2 linked regions of the Kluyveromyces lactis genome follow. The protein of the gene in region 2 binds, or shares a complex with, the protein of the main gene of each other region. Each region holds a gene or a part of one and is shown on either strand. Other genes may lie near its edges. The genes, in order: RAD6 and BRE1. A codon is read from its position in the direction of its gene.

Region 1 (2,632 bases), on a different chromosome or scaffold from region 2:
CTACGTCAAGCCAGACGTCTTTCTCCGGCAACTCAAGCACCAACCCCAACATTAGGTGCTTTAATATCACAATTCACACTTTCAGATAATTTCGATGAGACAACTTTAGAAGAACAATACGAACAACTGAAGCCTCTTCTGACCAGTATAACATTGACAAATGTGCCCTTTGACACCTGGACTTCCAATGATATTAACGTACTAAAACACCATCTTGATGCAAAGGCACCGCTGCCTTGGAAATTTTTAACCGATGACGAAAAACGAGTGTGGTATCTTTTGGGGTTTGGAACTTGGGGTCCGCGGAAAGAGTTCAATAAGGTAAAACCTAATGACATTCAGTGGAATGCGAATGCTAAGGTAAGTTCCAATCAAAGCGATGTTCCTAAGGTGGTGACACCTATACCGATTTGTTCAAGTGACAGAATCGAATGGGAAAAGAAAAAGAGACAACTAGATCCGCTAACAATATCAGTGGGCGTATTCGCCTCGATGATCACTCTCACAGCATTCCTTGTATAAAGAACTATTCGCATGGATATGACAATTTGTCATTTTGATTAAAGCGGTAACGGGTTGAGATTATTATGTAGATATTTGTATGCGTATATATATATATATATATATATATATATTTCGTGTTACTTGGATGCTTCTCGCTCACAAGGAATACTCCGGTTTAAGAAATTGGATCTAATCAATTTCGATTATCATTCTTCATCTTCGTCTTCGTCTGCCATGTCTTCCATATCATCTTCCCATGACTTTTCTACGGTCTCTTTCACACGTTTCACGTACTGAGATTTGTGATCCTGGAATAAAGTTGCTGCTTCAACGTTAGCAGGCGATGCAGGATTGGGATCATTAAATAACGACTGAATTGACGTTAGAATCGATGCAACGTCATATGTCGGAGTCCATCTATTCTGAAGAATGTCCAAGCAAATCTCACCATTGGCATACACGTTAGGATGGAACATCTCACTCAAGAATTTGACGTGCGGCGGTTTATTTGGATATTCTTCATCGAATTCTAGTAATAATCTAAACGTTCCATCTTCATACGGCGTATCTGCGGGGCCGATAATCATTGCATTCCAGATCATCACATTATCAGGTAGCGGCGACGCAGATACGCCTGGTGGCGAGTCTTCTTTCATTCTTTTGAAGTCTCTCATCAACCTCCTCCTAGCTGGCGTAGACATATTGTAGTATTCTTTCTTAAAACTTATTCCCTTAACACTTAAACAGGGTTCTTGAAAAGTGGCTATAATTTCGTTTAACCAATATTCAATGATTAATTTCTATCAGTACAATGACAATGTTTAACAAACGTCAGTGGTTCCTATAATATTTCGGTTTCCCAGTTGTAAGACTATCCTCTGCTATATCCCACTAATTGTTCAACCAGAGACAAGTTCTTAATAATTATTCGTAATCGGCGTCTCTTATTTCTACAGGAAATCTCAATTCAGTAAAATCAATTTTAAAGAACCACAATAGTATATTTCTTAACGAAAGTAGCTCCAGTAACAAATAATCAAACACACAGAACACTACTTGCCGTGTCTTTAACCACTGGCACCTTTCGTTTAGTCCAATAGTTATTCCAAACGCATCCTGTATCTATTTCAACTTTCTTTCGAAATGTGGCGAAATCTATTTGTGCGGGTAATAATAAAACGCTTTCCTATGCCAAACGACCATAAGTCATCGAATGATGATATAAATAAGTAAATATCGGTATATAGAGTGGTTACTATACATTACTATAAGCATTGCTAACTTGGTTTACTAAACTCTATCCAATTGCAATTTGTCCGTATGCCTCATCAAATTTCCTAGTTTGAGAACGGTATCGGTACCGTAACCTTGAATAGAATGTACGGTCAAATCACCGTTCCAATATTCGGCATATACTTTGCATAGTGCGAGACCAATTCCAAGTTTATATCTGGGAGATCGTTTGAGAAGCTCCATTAGCGGTTGTCCAACTTTAAATTTACCTTTCGTCAAATTGTTTTCTGACATCCGATCTAGCGATGTTTGTCTGTAACGATCTGATTTTAGATGAGCACCGTTAGAAGAATCATATAACGACAAAGTCTGCAATCCAGGCAAGTGATGGAAGTTGTCTAGGGATTGCTTGGCTAGCTCTTTTGATTTACCAAAGGACCATATCTGCTTATCAGAATGTGGCACTCCACCACCTCTATCACTGATTCTGAAAAGATAACTTTGGTCATTCGATATTATAGTTACTGTCACCGGAGGTGCCTTTTCTAGTCCCAATCGTATGGTCTCCTTGACAGTCACTTCGTAGCTGTTTCTTAAGATTTCTCCCAATAGGAACTTTAGATGCGATGGTAGGAAATAGAATTCTAGTTCAGTGTCCCCGTTGATAATCAATTCGGGCATCTTGATGCCCGCAAAATACATATTATTGATGTATGCCTCACATACTTCCCTCGCACCGTTCAAGTACTCCTTGGCGTTACATTTTTGGAAAATATCTCCCAAAACAAGTGTGTTTTCCTTCTTTCCACTTAAATAATTGGATGTGATACTCAAATGTTCTTCTACGATCAACCTTCTACTAATCCGGGCTCTCAATAAATCCGAAATCAATGCA
Region 2 (4,040 bases):
GCTTAGAGTACCTAACCATCGGTCCTGCGATAGTCGCTGGTCTGCAGTGTGTCTGACTTCTAGTTTTAATAATATGCAATGGATCATTTTTTTTTGTTAGCTTCTTAGCGGTAGGAAGCTGCACTGACAATGACATCTTACCGAGAGCTCTTGTGCGACCCGGAAAAACCTTAGAGATAATAAAGGACAGTTCAGTACTTTTAGAGACGCTACCAAAAATTTTAAGCGGACGACTAATACTTAGTATTACCGCTTCTGCTCTTGTGTGTCCCACCTTATATATATAGAGAGCCGTTACTATGAGAATAGTCCTGTGATTTCTTTATCTCATCGCAGTAGTCGATTAAATGTCAGACTTTGAATTTTGTTGATTTTTTAATCAGAACTACCGAATTAGGTATTTACAAGCGATATATTAGAATAATGTTACATAGATAATATATACAATGAAAAATGTATATAAGTCAAACTGTGGGGTCAAGGGGGTAAGGATGGATAAGGCATTTTCAAAAAATATATACCATTCTAAGAAGACAGGCGTGTTTACCGTTTGAAAATAAACGGCCTTGTTTTCCAAGATGCACCCTGATAGAATGCGGAATAAGACTCGTTCATAAATGTATGGATAGTAAATCGTTAGATGAGAAAGGTTTGTTACATGTAGGACATTTTCTCATCCTAGCAGCTAATCTTTCTTTGCAGCAAACATCGCAAAACACATGACCGCAAGTCTTGAGGGCAGTATTCTTCCAATTTTTGGAACATAATGAACAGTAGATTATAGTACGGAAATTCTCTAACTCTTCGGCTAGAGCACCATTGTCACCACCATTAGAGAGTAATGTCTTGTATAATTTCTTTGACTTGGCTTCAGCACTGGAAACCTTGATCTTCAGCTGCTTGTTTTCGATATCTTTGTCCTTGATTTTAGATTCGAGCTCAGTCTTAGTTCCGATTAGATTTCTGGTTTCTGATTCAAGACGTTCTGTTGATTTTTTCAATTTATTATTCTCAGATGTCAATTCCACTATCTTCATTGAAGTTTCTTTGTTAGATTCTTTGACCCTCTTCTCATTCTCTTGGGATAGGCTCAACTGCATGTGAACGTTTACGATCTTCTGTTGTAACGTCTTTTCAAGGTCCTTCAATTGAACGATGAGCTCGTTTGATTTGTTCAAATTTTTAGAAAGATTTTTGTTTTCTATCATTATAGCATCTTTGGATCTCATTGCAGCAAAATATTTTTCGCTGGCCTTTGTCTTTTCAACTGTCAATTTACTTAAAACAGATTCTTGGTTCAGGTATGCAGCATACTTTTTGTTTGAAAGATGTGACACCTCTCTGAAGGCCTTTTCGAGATCCTGTAATTCTTTCATTAATGCATCTTGGGACGCATTTTCTGAACTTCTGGATTCAAACTTTTGTAGTTGTTCTTGTTGGATATTCAATGACTTTTCTAAATCCTCTAACATCTCAGATTTGGTCTTTTGTGCCTCCAAAAGAGAAACTTTGGCCAATAATTCATCACGAATTGTTCTGATCCTAACTAAATCTTTCTCTAGAGAAGCATTGTGCTTTTTAAGGGTCTCCTGTGCTAAATTAAACTCTGAGGTAAGTTTATTGTTGAATATTTCTCTATCCGCGGATAGTTGTTGAAACTTGGTTAAGTAGCCTTCATTAATCTGTTGTAACTGTTCATTCTGTTTAGTTAAGGAACTGATTTTTTCATTAGTAACTGAAGCATCTGGTTGATGTTGCGAATTAGATTGAAGTTGGTTGTTAGAAAGCGCTGATTTATTAGATGCTACTGTTTGTCGTAGTTCCGAAAGTTCTCTTTCATTTTGATTTTTCCATTCCGTTAATTCCTTTACCGTAGCCTCCAAGACGGAGATTTGAGTATTCAAGTCATTTATTTCAATTTCGTGGTGAGCCTGAGATACTGCACTTTCTTTATTAGATTGGGATTTGTCTGAGTTATCATTTGACTCGTCATTCACAGAGCTTGCGCCAGTCGAAGATTGCTTCTCTTTCTTTACATTGCTATCATCATCAGCAGTGTTAAACACACGAGAAACACTTTCACTGTCCTGTCTATCATACTGAGCAATTATATTCTCATAATATTCGGTAGCCTTCTTCAGCTTATTTTCAGAGGATTTCAACAGCTTCTGTAAAGTCAAAGTGAGCGATTCTAGCTCCTGTAGTCTACCGATGTTATCAGAGATGTTAGATCCACTGGTCTTCAGTATTAGTTCGCATATCCTAGCACTGTTATTGCTGATTATCTGTGTAAGGGTATGCTCATCCTCAGTATTGATGAGTTGTTGTAAAAAGCGTTTGTCCTGCTCATCGCTGCAGTCCTCAACCACAGATCTAGCCAATACGACTATAGATGAACAGCATCCAGAAACCGACTCGGTGGTCTTCGAAAGCCCAGCCGCTAAAACCTCATTCTCTTCTACAAGCTGGTTAGCTTTGACTCTCCACTTATTCAAACATCTGAACAATGCCTCTTTTTGGAACGCTATTACATCCTTCTGCGTTAACGGCTCAGAAGGATCGGAAAGCTCTAGCTTTGGCCGCTTAACAAAATGGTCATTCATATATGCGGATTTATGTATAGGTCTCAGAAAACTTAGAGCTTGTATGACAATGTGAGCAAGTACAGTAAACCTTTCGTGAATTTCGTAAGCTCAGAATATCACACTGATAATCAGTCTCAAATTATATATCTCTAGATGTGAAAGACTGAAAAAAACCCTCCCACACTAAGTATTTTGCAAACTATAATGTCAGTAATACGTCTTGCCGAGTAGTACCCTTACAAGGCGTTCGAGATACCTCTTCAAGACCGACATTAGTGATGCTATCTTGTCAACTTTTAAAGTAAAACCTTTTTAACTTTTTTTCTTTGAAATATTTTTGGCGAATTTATCGAAAACCAAGGTCACGTGAAGGTAGCAGCAAGTAATCCATGTTCGCAGGGTGGAAAAAGGAAGTGCCAGGCAGCACTTTTTGATAAATTCATTACATGGTAAACTCTTGGGCTGTGTGCGTTCTAATGTGATGGGAAATGGCGTTGAATTTGATGTTATTACATGTGTTACTAATAGATTCTTGTTGTTTTTAGTATACAAAGATTTTTCATTCCGTTTCAATATAAGAATTTCTAAGATCTGAGATCCTTTAAGTTCACATAAAATATATAAAGTTTGTTTCTATATTCATTCAGTATTTTGTGTAGAGACAAGAGAATAGCAGTGGGACCAAATCCAATTGTATTATTGTGAGAAGCCCTAGTGATTGTATCAACACCTGGTGTAAAACGTTCGCTTTGATTATTTCACATTTCATAAGGGATTGCCAAAAGCTCTGACGTCTGTGTTTTGAAATCTTTCTGTCTCTGGGAACAAAAGTAGATTCTCCAGTTCTGACCCAAATTTAGATCTCAGAAAACATTTTATTCGTTCGATAGTTGCCTTACGTGCTTGGGGAAAGGTTTCGTACATGCGGTTAGAGTTATAAAATCCTCTTTTGAACGACCTTTCAGCCAGTAACCTAAGAAAGTTACCAATTAATTGAGATAGAACACTTTGAGAACCAACAGTAAAAGAAATCAAGAACAGACAGATTTAACATGGATACTGGCAGGCAAGATATGCATCTTTTGAATTCTTTGAATAAATTCATTAACCTCACAGCCTCTTCGGGTTCTATTGGTCACGGACCTGACCATGGGTTGTCTGTGTCACAATTGAAAGTGGTGACGAATTTCCTCCGATTGAATTTATTATCGCTATTACGTAAACTGGAACCACTTATTGAAGTATCCTCAGAAGAAGAACTACGTAACAGGCCTAAACAAGATGTACTGACTCAGTGGTGGTTAACTTTACTCAATTTCTTAAACTCAGATCTTATATCAGAAACCACTAATACGCCTCTTACAATAGATGCAATCTCAGTTTCACTCGAATGTATCAGCAGAATTATTACACTTACTGCACTAACCACTACCTCCACTGACAAAGACCGTGAAA

The links.
Region 1: the proteins of BRE1 (region 2) and RAD6 are in contact, whole or in part, in a crystal structure (PDB 7W75), measured with the Kluyveromyces lactis proteins. Residues at the interface, in XP_451665.1 of Kluyveromyces lactis: Ser17 (codon at 2,555), Glu18 (codon at 2,552), Pro19 (codon at 2,549), Leu20 (codon at 2,546), Thr21 (codon at 2,543), Gln22 (codon at 2,540), Val25 (codon at 2,531), Ile26 (codon at 2,528), Phe28 (codon at 2,522), Gln29 (codon at 2,519), Ala32 (codon at 2,510), Leu33 (codon at 2,507), Arg35 (codon at 2,501), Cys36 (codon at 2,498); in XP_452450.1 of Kluyveromyces lactis: Met16 (codon at 1,160), Lys17 (codon at 1,157), Glu18 (codon at 1,154), Ser20 (codon at 1,148), Met39 (codon at 1,091), Ile41 (codon at 1,085), Asp50 (codon at 1,058), Thr52 (codon at 1,052), Ser148 (codon at 764), Trp149 (codon at 761), Asp152 (codon at 752), Met153 (codon at 749), Glu154 (codon at 746), Met156 (codon at 740), Ala157 (codon at 737).

Annotation. Positions count from the first base shown.
Region 1 is NC_006039.1:502,774-505,405, forward strand, and holds RAD6 (E2 ubiquitin-conjugating protein RAD6), read right to left. Parts: upstream 1,206-2,632; coding exon 711-1,205; downstream 1-710. Other genes in the region: KLLA0_C05610g (uncharacterized protein), read left to right, coding at 1-522; protein kinase PKP2, read right to left, coding at 1,795-2,632. UniProt on the Saccharomyces cerevisiae protein: E2 ubiquitin-conjugating enzyme that accepts ubiquitin from the ubiquitin-activating enzyme E1 and transfers it to a E3 ubiquitin-protein ligase.
Region 2 is NC_006038.1:267,187-271,226, forward strand, and holds BRE1 (E3 ubiquitin-protein ligase BRE1), read right to left. Parts: upstream 2,604-4,040; coding exon 612-2,603; downstream 1-611. Other genes in the region: DUS4 (tRNA dihydrouridine synthase), read right to left, coding at 1-136; AHK1 (Ahk1p), read left to right, coding at 3,638-4,040. UniProt on the Saccharomyces cerevisiae protein: E3 ubiquitin-protein ligase that mediates monoubiquitination of histone H2B to form H2BK123ub1 in association with the E2 enzyme RAD6/UBC2.